Linked DNA regions of Arabidopsis thaliana. The protein of the gene in region 2 interacts with the protein of the main gene of each other region in a biochemical or structural test. Each region holds a gene or a part of one and is shown on either strand. Other genes may lie near its edges.

Evidence for each region. Proteins that work in one complex are often made in the same cells at the same time.
Region 1: the proteins of AT3G02280 (region 2) and AT5G18400 form a complex in vitro, tested with the Arabidopsis thaliana proteins (one study listed by BioGRID).

Annotation. Positions count from the first base shown.
Region 1 is NC_003076.8:6,092,180-6,096,729, forward strand, and holds AT5G18400 (Cytokine-induced anti-apoptosis inhibitor 1, Fe-S biogenesi), read right to left. Parts: upstream 2,902-4,550; 5' UTR 2,698-2,901; coding exon 2,695-2,697; intron 2,596-2,694; exon of another isoform or gene 2,505-2,595; intron 2,394-2,504; coding exon 2,246-2,393; intron 2,002-2,245; coding exon 1,835-2,001; intron 1,754-1,834; coding exon 1,658-1,753; intron 1,435-1,657; coding exon 1,275-1,434; intron 1,198-1,274; coding exon 1,067-1,197; intron 982-1,066; coding exon 907-981; intron 815-906; coding exon 776-814; 3' UTR 503-775; downstream 1-502. Other genes in the region: AT5G18390 (Pentatricopeptide repeat (PPR) superfamily protein), read left to right, coding at 1-154; AT5G18403 (Putative membrane lipoprotein), read left to right, coding at 3,164-3,212, 3,322-3,536; AT5G18404 (uncharacterized protein), read left to right, coding at 3,970-4,227. UniProt on the Arabidopsis thaliana protein: Component of the cytosolic iron-sulfur (Fe-S) protein assembly (CIA) machinery. Required for the maturation of extramitochondrial Fe-S proteins.
Region 2 is NC_003074.8:451,423-458,384, reverse strand, and holds AT3G02280 (Flavodoxin family protein), read right to left. Parts: upstream 5,057-6,962; 5' UTR 4,875-5,056; exon of another isoform or gene 4,797-4,874; 5' UTR 4,740-4,796; coding exon 4,599-4,739; intron 4,371-4,598; coding exon 4,290-4,370; intron 4,185-4,289; coding exon 4,080-4,184; intron 3,559-4,079; coding exon 3,467-3,558; intron 3,174-3,466; coding exon 2,989-3,173; intron 2,712-2,988; coding exon 2,632-2,711; intron 2,396-2,631; coding exon 2,321-2,395; intron 2,229-2,320; coding exon 2,118-2,228; intron 2,037-2,117; coding exon 1,905-2,036; intron 1,773-1,904; coding exon 1,653-1,772; intron 1,564-1,652; coding exon 1,347-1,563; intron 1,259-1,346; coding exon 726-1,258; 3' UTR 516-725; downstream 1-515. UniProt on the Arabidopsis thaliana protein: NADPH-dependent reductase which is a central component of the cytosolic iron-sulfur (Fe-S) protein assembly (CIA) machinery.

The DNA of each region.
Region 1 (4,550 bases), on a different chromosome or scaffold from region 2:
GGATGCGGCTAATTACTTGGTTGAGATGACAGAGATGGGTTTGGTTCCGATATCACGGTGCTTTGATATGGTTACTGATGGGTTGAAGAATGGCGGGAAGCATGATTTGGCTATGCGAATAGAGCAGTTGGAAGTTCAGCTTAGAGGAGTTTGATACTGCTAAGAAAGGCTTTTGAGGCTTCTCCTAAACTCGGATACTTGGGATTCTGTAGAAATTCAGCTACTTCTCCATTGATCTACCCTGTATATCTTGTAGTCGAAGCTTGTCTAACTGTTGGTTAGGTTATACTTCGGTTTGGGGGTTGAGTTTAGTTGGTCTCCTGACTAGTTTCTTTCCAGGGAAAGTGGCGAGAAACATTTTGTTGTACTACTGTTTTTTTTATAGATCCATCTGTCAGATCAAATTTACGTATTGTGCTTTTCGTACAGATTACGACAGATGAATCTTCAGAGCTCACATTACCAAAGAAACAGTGATGCACATAATACAAGCTCTGATGTTAATGCATTGATTCGTTTGCAAAACTAAGGTCCAAGCCAGACAGAGAAATAATTATTTAACCAATGCAAAACCGTTCTTCATTGATACTAAGGTGTGTGCTTTGTGGGCAACCCAAACAATATTCTACAAGCTTTTAGAGCCACAAAATAAAAGAAGTACCAACAAACAAATTATACGAAAGGGCACAAAGTAAATGATGAAACTACTCTGCGATTAGCAAAAGGTTTTGGCCTCGGCGAGAAACACCCATGTATGAAGATGCCTTTCACATGCTTATATGTCAGCTTCAAGGAAGTTTTGAGATAGGGTTACCTAAAGAGGAAGAAAAGTTACATGAATAAGGTGTATTCTTAAAAGGATTAACAAGACTTTACAATGGTGATAGATATAAAGGATTCAGTTACCTTCTCGCCTAATTTGAAGGGTGGCAGACCCTTGTAAGGGCATGTACCGCAGCGGAAGGCATCACCGAGCCCACACTGAAAGAATTGTTTAAGAAATTTTCAGTCTTGTGGAACCAAAAATCCAATGCATACTGAGAAAGAGATGGGTAAAGAAGCTTACGCTGCCGCATGATGATTGTGGATTCTCGATTTGATCCTCTGTGAGGCCCAGCTTCACAGCTTTCTCCTCAATTTCAGCTCTACCACAGACGCAGTTCTTGCAAGCTTTTTTAGTGGTCTCACAACCGCTGGCTGCAAAAGATGCAAGATATCTTAAACACAAGGAATGATATAAGGATAACAAAGATCATGTGGCTGTCTTTAATTACCAACAGGAAGCTGTGGCTTCATCAAGTCCTCCTCTGTTAAAAGAGAATCTTCATCAATAAGATCCACGTCGTCATCTAGATCAATCTTAAAGAGATTTGTTACAGGCTTTTTGAGAGCAAATGATGAACCAATCTTCCAAGAAGGTTTCTTTGCCTTAATCTGCATTTGACAACATGATTAACTGTTATATGATGAGACAAAGTGAGAGTATATATGCAAGTTTGACAGATAAGTAGAATGAAGATCTTTTATCCTTCATGTTAAAGGCCTAGAATAAGCCTGAACCGAAAAAGCAAGCTTATATTCTTATTTCCGTTCAAGAAAAAACGTTTCCTCATACTAAAAGAAAGAGAAGATAGACAGGACGTGTAAAAGTGCTCACCCCAAAGGATAAACTGAACGTAGACAATTTAATTGATTTCAAATCAAGACACTGTGGCTCAAGAAAACCAGCCAATGTCACTCTCCTTTGAATGGTCTGCAAGGAAGACGCCATAAGATTAATAAAGAAAAGTTCAAAGACACCCCATTATACATAGACTAGATACACGACACAAACCTGTTGAATTTCTCCCGTTTCACCCTCCAAAACTTTGCACACAGAAACCGTGCCGCCAGGCTTCAAGATTCTTGAGAACTCACCACATATTTTATCACTTGGGAAATCAGATGTTTTGGAAATGGCTAATACCGCCTCCACAGAGGAAGCATCCAAAGGAAACTGATCTGCAAAAATAATCAATAGTCCAACATAAAGAGAAGAGGACACAAAAGAATATCCCACAGCATGTCGTCTTCAAGTGTTCTCACCCTACAAAATTGCTCATCTCTCCATATACAGACACGAATCTTCCTATCTACATACACACCAGACTAACCATACTACAAGCTTAACTAAAGCAGTCTAACAACTATTTCATAACCTGAGCTAAAAAAAAAAATCGGAGAACAATTAGGAACAGAGATTTACTTATTGTGGATGCTTGAGTAATAATCAGAGGATCAAAACTCTCAATCACTTCCTTTCCAAGCTCTTTCATTATAGCTAAAACAGAGCTAACAGGTAACACCACATCATCCGTCACAGCCAAAACAGTCTTCTGATTCATCATCGAATCCTACAAACCAAAAAACCCAAAAACATTAAAAGACTAAACTTTGAAAATAAAATCCACAGATCATCAAGCTACAAACACAAAAAGCTAACAACTTTTATTGCTTTTTACAACCTAAAGAAGCAATTTTTTTCTCCCGAAGCTCTTATGACATGCAAATGAATCAAGAGAAACAAATAATCGATTCGCGCAACCCAACACAAGGCTAAAAAGTTTAGAGATACACAAAAACAGAAATCGATCTGAGGAACAACAAACAATCAGAAAATAAAATTGAAGATAGACAACAGAAACATTAACTTACCATAATGGAGAAATCTATGTAAAACCTCGCGAGATACTCAAAAACCCTAAAAATATATATATAGCTGTGTAAATTGTTTGCCTTTGAAGAGGAATAAGAAAAATCAAATCTTCTGACCTTTGTCTCTCTCGCTGGCTTTTTTATATCTTTTTCGCCGACTCTTTCCTTTTCCTTGGTTCTGCTATAACGCGGTTTGGTCAAACCGGGTTTACGTAGAGAAATCAGGAAAAAAAAAAAAAACGGGTTACCCGATTGTTTATTGTGTTTTTTAAAACGGGTTCGGATCCAAAAGTAATAGATACGGCCCATTTAGACACACGGGCTTAGTGCCCATTTTAATATGAAAAAAAAAAAAAAACTACTTTTAAGAAAAAAAACGTTAACTACTGTATTTTGTAACATAAATAAAAGGTATATATATATGACATTGTGACACTATCTCATATTAATAACTTCTAAGGAAAACAAAATGAAGACAATTGTTTGTTTCTTAACTATTCTAATCTTAGTTTCATCATGTAAGTATTTATAACTTAATCTTAGAATCAAACGTATATCAATAATTTAACTATATTTTCTTTCTCTAATAATATTTTAGTTAATAATAATCTTGTTGTATAATAATAGGTGAATCGAAGAACAAGAAAGTGGTGATAATACCGGGCCCAAAAGGAGAGCGTCCTGATATTAAGGTGGTAGAAGGCCCATCAACAGTTGAAGATGACTTTTGTTACGATTGTGTACGTCGTTGTATGGTAAAGGGTGTCGGTTTCTATTTTCGTAGTTGTAAAGGCTTTGTCTGTCGTTGTTATTATCCATTCATGGGTGGCTACGGACCGTAGTTACAAAAACTTTGTCATTGTTATACACCTATAGTTTGGTGATGATTATTGATCATCATTTCTATAATTAATCAAATAAAATAAATTTTCTTGTTTTCCTCTTTTCTTAACGATTTTTTATGTAAGTTTTCTGTCATATATTGATTTCGATGATTCAACCATCTATAAGTGAGTGCTACATTTTCTAATCTTTTGCTTTCACTTATTTCTCACAAGTTTAATCTTAAAATTCACTGTTTGCGCCAAAAAAAAAAAAAAAAAAAAACTGTGATTACTTGTAGAAATACTTCGGATTTCGCAACTAATAAAACAGTTTTGTTTTAATTAACGTTTGATAGGAGAAAACAAAATTAGCAGTTTTTTGGTCTTATAATGAAACAAAAGGACACATCTTCCATATATCAAAATATAAAGAAACAAATCAACAATCGTCATGAAATGCCTCTCTGAGGTAATTAAAGTCTCGAAAGCAGACACATCATTCTCAAACCTGATATGTGACAGCAGTGCGCGGCTTTGTTTGATGGCACAAGCCGTTTTGTCTTCGAGAGGACAACGAGCTTTAAGCATGGAGAAGATATGGTTGTTTAGCCGCCCAATCGAGCTTTCTTCATCTCTTCCAACAAACCGTCCCGATGGGTCGCACGCCCGACACACATGTTTGGCCTTGTGTGTCCATAACTCAAAATAGGTGACCATCCCTTTCTTACACATTAAAAAAGAAGAAAAAAAAAAGAACATTCAGACAGAGAATGAGTGGATTCGACACCTCTAAATGTAACTACATATGCATTCATTAGAACAAAACGATTATAATTTTATTTTGTATATCACTTAACATATAAAAAGTTCATAAACAAAACGATCAAAAAGTTTGTGAGTATTATCTTTTAATCTGAAATAAACATTCAATTACTAAATACCATAACTATGCTATTACTTCTTTGAAAGATAAATGTTACTTATAAAATTAATTATTTTGTAACATAAGTAAAAGATATATATATGACACTA
Region 2 (6,962 bases):
CTTTAAAAATAACAAAATTCTATATAATAATGATAATCAAAGAACATAATATAATTACGCTTAGATTATTATATAGATGACTTTGTATTTTGAACTTTTTGAATTTTAGACGTATAAGAAATGTTTTTCTGTAAGTTTGAAAACTCCTTTTTCTGTTTCCAAATCACATTTTTTTTTATCGAAATCTCACTGCTTTTATGGGGTTAATGGAGGACGAATAATTATTTTGTTACTCACGCATGCCCGATTATTCTGTGCTTCTGCAATTATTTTTTCGTTTAATACTGAAATTAATCTCTTTTTTTTTCGTGTCAGTGTCATCTACTTTCCATACAAAAAGTAAAAGCAAACTACTTTCTTCAGAAATTTAGACTAGTTGAGGTTTTGCATTGATTATAAAATCTGATTTTAAAAAAATCCTAAATGAACAGTTTTACTCTTTAATTAGAATCACATGACACATGTTACTTAATTGGTGATATTTAAATTTAAACAGAAATTAATATCTAGTGTTATCCAATTAACGATTTTGAAAAACAAACAAACCAACAAAAAAATATGTATTTCAAAACTAAATCTATATCAACCTTAACCTTCGACACATCATCTTCACTTTTAATTAATTTGTATGAATTATCAAAATAAAAATAAAAATTAATGTGCCAGCAATAAAATAATCAGAGAACATATATGTAATAAGATTACATATGAAGGAAGTTAGAGAGTTAAGACCAAGCTTCAACATTGTACCTCCCTGTCTTCTCCAAAGCCTTAAGCCACCGTGAAGCTACCTCCTTTGATCCTCCTCCTGTCTCCTCCGACACAATATCTTCGAAAGCCGACATCACATCACAAGGCATTTTCGTCGACGAGCCCGCCACGTAAACAGCGGCTCCATCACAGAGTAAATCCCAAACTCTCTTGCTCATTTCGCGGATCTTATGTTGCACGTAAACCTTCTTTGGTTGGTCTCTAGAGAACGCTGTGTAAAAGCCACCGCCTTTTCCTTCAGAGAGCATGCCTCCTTCTCTTGCGTGAGACTCCCAGAAATCGCGGTATAGAAAGTCTGTGTCTTTGTTTCTGCAACCAAAGAAGAACATGACGGGGGCAACCGGGCTAGACTGAGCTTGTACGGCTCTCTCAGCTATGAATCCACGGAATGGCGCACATCCGGTTCCGGGTCCCACTAAGATGAGCGGAAGCGACTGAGATGGAGCAGGAAGGGAGCCTTTGTGAAACCAAACCGGTATGTTTACCTCTAACCACAACCGAAGACAAAGAAAACATATCAGAAATAGAGAACTGAGCCATTCACAGTTATGGTAAAGAAGAAACAAACTTCTAACCTTGTTCAGGTGCGAGGCTTGCAAGCCAAGAGGAGCACAGACCTTTCCGAGTTCTCTTATAAGGCGTGATCCATGATACTATGCTTACAGTCAAATGTACTGCGGCAGGGTGGGCCAAAGGAGACGAAGATATCGAAAAAGCTCTTGGTTTTAGCGGTGGGACTAACTGTACTAGCCAATCAAAAGGGATTTGTACGGAAGGAAAATCCTCTAGCACCTACATAGGCATTAGCAATACGATTGGTTAAGAGAGTGAATGCATATTCAAGACGAATCATGAACCTGTGAGATCTGGTGCTATTTTACCTCAAGAATGCTTCTTCTTTCCTTCTGATTGTAATTGTAGAGATCATCCCGCCCCTCGGGTGAGGCAAAGTATTGAAGTCTTTCCTTCTCATGTTCAGCTGTTGCATAGAAGCTCATAATCTGAACAGAGATGATACATCATACATTACAAGGGTGTCCATCAAATACTTGTCTCATAAAACTCAAAGGACTTTCATAGATTTGAAATTCAAATGCATTAGAACTGAATGATTGAAATTAAAGGGTTCTTACCTCAAAGAAGTATCGTCGAGGTGAAGCGGATGTAACATCCATTGTTAATTCAACAAAAGTCTTAAGCTTAATAGGGATCTGTGTAATCATTTCTTCACTAAAACTACTATTCTCTGTCTCTCGCGGACCAACCTGAAAAAAAAAATAACTCTCGGGATTTATTTTGAATAACAATCTGAGATAATTTTATATCACAAGAGTGGAGCTACTTACTGTAATGAATGATTCTGGGTCTAAACCGCAGCGTTCTATAAACGCATCTACCACTGAAGAATTTTGGCTTGGAAGAAGCTCAACAACATCGCCAACTTCATATTCGATAGTCTTAAAAGAGTAGAAAACCAAAGAGGATAATAAGAAATCACCCTCAAAATCGACTGAACTTTGACCTAAGTAAGTGACAGCAAAGTACTTACAGAAGAAACAAACTGGAACTCAAAGTGGCGGACATCCTTTGTGCTTTCAGCTTTAGTCAAGACTTCATTGCGGGTCTACATGATTAGAATGTTAAGGCAAGCTAAGGGAATAAACCTCATATCATCTAGGCTTAGCATAATAATGCATACCAAAAGGCAAAATCAGATATTTTAAGAAAACATGTTAATCATCAAGCAACACACCAGATTCAAGGTAACAGAGGACTGGAATAGCATAACCAGTGAGGTTGACTAGCATATCAGAATGAAAAAGAAAAGGAATTTTTTGTTGGGCAACAGGATGAGCATACCATCTTGAGAAAGCAGTCTGGTTTACTTTTGTCCTTGAATAATTTTCCTGGGGACATTCCACGGGCTCTTTGTATGATATCTGCAAAAACATAAGAGGCATATTAAACAAGATAAATTCCCAAAAACATGTAATATGGTACCTAACCTTTTTCATGATGCAAGAGAAATTAGTTTCACGAGCCAATTGAAACATAACATTTGTGAGCCTACTTCCAGCAGATTCATTCAAAATGATTTTTATACCAACATTTCTAGCAATTACCATTAGCAAGTAGGCAATTCAATGTTAAGTAGCACAACATAGTCATAAATTAACATAAATGAAGCCAAGTATCCACTCAATAATTTTGGCATACCTGAATCTGACAATAATTTAGGCTCCAATTTCTCCTGCTTATGAAATAAAATCCTATATTTAGGCTTATCAATTACTTCATCTTGAGGAATTTTCACATCTGGACCTTTAGGAAAGTATTTTGGATTGATCTGATATAATGTCCTCCACAAAGAAAGCATCCACGGATCAAGAGTTCCTTCATACCTGAAAATAAAGAAAACACCAAAACTGAAAACTTAGTATCCTAACACTGGACTAATAAAACTACAGTAAGAATGTAGATACAACTGACTGATCAAATGGTTCCTTCATATCTGAAAATAAAGAAAACACCAAAACTGAAAACTTAGTATTCTAACACTGGACTTTATAGTAGTATACCAGGAACAGTAAGAATGTGGATACAATATCTTCAACTGACCAAATGGTTCATCTGATTTCAAAGAATATTATGTAAAAGCAGGATTCTTTATTTGTTTTAATATACCGTATCATACCCTGATGGGTGTTGATCATCTCCTAGACCTTTTTCAATGATGGTTGTGGCCCCAAGATCTGATAATCTTTTGTCTAGCTTCTTTGCTACAAACTAAAGCCATCAGAAAGAGAATCATGTCATGAATTTGTGCCACAGAAGAATAAATCAGACAAATCTCACGATTTCTGGCAGTGAGGATTCTTTTACAAAAATAAAAAACCCTGAATAGAAAGGAGAAGGGTAAGTTTGCTAATATCATTCTTCCTTAGTAAAGCCTAGTTTTTTCTTCTCACATTGATTAAAACATCAAAAAAAATGTGGAGGAACTTGGGAATAGCCCAACATGGGGAATGTTAAAACAAAGCGAAACTGAATATAAATCATGTCATGAATTTGTGCCACAGAGAATAAATCATCCCACGATTTCTGGCAATGAGGATTCTTTTTACAAAAAGAAATAACCCTGAATAGAAAGGAAAGTTTGCTAATATCATTCTTCCTTAGTAAAGCCTAGTTTTTTCTTCTCACATTGATGAATAGATTAAAACAAAACTGGAGAAACTTGGGAATAACGAAACATGTGGAATGTTAAAACAAAGTGAAACTGAATATAAAGAGGCAGAAGAACTTACGTTGTACTTCTGGTAACCAGAATCACCTAGTCCAAACACTGCATAGCGAACTTGTTGCAACCAATAGTTTCCCAGATTTCTTTGAAGAAGAAACCTCCAAAATGCCTTGAATGATTGAAAAAGACAATGAACAATAATAAGCTACGATTAATTAAAAGCGTTTTACAGGAATAAACTAATTGGTAACAAATTTCAGGACTTTAAACGAACCTTAAAGGAATCAGGAGAGTCTCCTTGCCCTGTAGTGGAGACAACAAAAACAACAGCCTCCTCATGATGAGGTAAGGAACTCTGCAGAAAACAACACATGATAAAAAGGAAAACACTTTTATGTCGAGAGTTTGCGCTAACAGCTGATTATTGGCGAGGGGAAAACATATCAGCAATCAACAATTTTTGCAATTGAAAGGGGTTTGCTTCCAAAACATATTAGCAATCATCATATAAAAACGAAGCAAACCATCTTCCAAAACAAAGTAACGAGCTTTTAAAATCAAATTGGTTTTACTACACACATACCGTGTCGAATTCGTCGGTGGAGACGACAGAAGCTGGCAGTCCACGGCGTTCTGCTTCGCGGCCAATACGCTCCGCCGCATCAAGAGCGTTTCCGGTCTGAGAGGCATACAACACAAGCAGCTTCCTTTGTTTTTCTCCCATCGCCGCCACTGCCACCACCCGTCCGAATAAAGAATAACTGCACAACCGGATCCCGGTCTGATGATTTAAATTGGCAAGTTAAAATCAGAACCGAATTAAATCGAGAAATCTTAGTGGAGAACCAAATGTTTGTACCAGAACAACAGGGCATCTGCCAAGCCAAATTGATCTTGAACCAATGTACAGTGTGTTCTTCTTCTTCTAAGAGAGATGGTGAGCTTTCTACTTCACAGTCGTGCGTAAGAAGAAATCCATAAGGAGAATAAGATTACTTTCACTGTGGATTCGCCCATACTTAATTGAGAAGAACAGACTGCTAGGTTTTTTTTTTTTTTTGAAAAATACAAAGTCAAACTTGTAAAGTATACAATACGAATTAAACCACTAAACCAACATCTATATAACCGTATTTAACCAGCAATCCACGTATCAGAACAGAAATGTTGGTTTTTTCTTGTCTTGTTGATCTCTTAGCTTAATCCACCAAAAGACACAACAACACAATAAGTGGAAGACATGCAAAATTAGTTACAGAGCATAGTGCCTTGTAACTTGTAACTCGAAAATAAGACAAAAGTATCTGAAAAAAGATGGCTAGCAACATACATAGATGGACATTTTTGTCTCCACCAAAATCACAACTGTAATCATCTTCTCAAAATCAAAGGTAGAGTAGTTAAATCGTTTCAGACCTTACTCAAGTTAAGAAATACCTTGTCGAATATCTCAGAGGTTCGTTTTATTGTCATCTAATTTCCGATTATATCCCAAGTGTTGCAAGGCTTTTATTGAACAGCTCAAGTGGTTTGCATTGGTGGAAACATCTGTGGGACAAGTAAGAAAATTTGAACCTCAATTGTTCAATTTCATTCTTAAATGGAGCCTCAAATGGGGAACTTTTAGTATATATGTGTCTTAGAAGAAGCAGAGTTTACGCATGTATTCATTTTGTTATCATACTGTTTTTATGTTAAATTAGTAACAAAAGTTTTCATACTCTCTGCTTATGCCAACATTGGTGGTTACTTATGATTCCTATATAGGTCAGCAGAAGTATGTGTCTCATGTTCCTTGGTCTTCCAATGTGTGAAAGCGGTATGCAAAACCAAAAGACTTGGCGGTGGCTTTGAAACAAGATCAGCTTTCATTGCTGCCGCAGCTTCTGGTCCTTGTTACCTATTAAATCAACGATCGTGAAACTCACACTGGACAGAGATGTGGATAAGATGATAACTTGTCATCCCCATAGTTTCGTTGGTATCTCTATATTTCTCTGTTGATAAATTAGGATTGTTATTTTCAGTTGCATGTTAAAACAATCGAAGAAGCTTTTTACATGGTTTTGATGAAATGACAATAGATTTCGGTTCGGCGTACATAGGTTTTGAAATTACAAGTGATTTCTGTTTGGTTTAGATGGTTGTGAAATGAAAATTAATTTTGGTTCGGTTTGTATTAGAATAGTACGGTTTTGAGAAAAAAAAAACAAAAGAAAAAGTCACTCGAGGCTGTTTTGGAAACAAAGCGAGTAGATGTAAAATAGGCATGATTTTGTGGGTTTACCCCTACAGAAATCGACGACACGCGCTCAACGCGAGGTTGATGCGAGTGGGCGTGGTCCGGAGCGCGTGACGCGAAGTTGGTGCGAGTGGGCGTAGTCCGGTGCGCTCTGATTGGTTAGAAAAATGAAAATAGTTGTGTAGTAGCTCCTCCACTTCTCCTCTATTATTTCGTTTTTCGTCATTCTTTAGTTCTGAAAGTTGTGTAGTTTTAAGATTCAATTGAATCTTATTACGAGGTTTTTGGTTATTTTGAAATCATTGATTACTGTCACAAAAAAAAAATAGAAACTAGATTTTGAGATACTAAAATTTTTATTTTCATTTTGTTCTGCAACCATTAAAACTAGATTTAGCTGAGCCCCTAAAGAAATCAAAGTGAGTTGATATGTTTTCTTCACTAGAAAAGTTTTTGCCACTTTTATGACATAGTTATCGAGTATACTATAACATTATACAATATTTTTAAAAAATAGCATAACAATTGGTTTATACCATAAAAATTAGAGATGAGCTCTAACAAAAGTTAAGCTTATTAGAAAAAACACTAAAAGCGTAGAAGATTACTTTCATGGTGGATTCGCCCAAACTTGAGTTGAGAAGAACAGACTGCTAGGGCTTTTTCTTATAGTTTTCGTTTTTTTTTTTTTTTTTTTTCCATCTC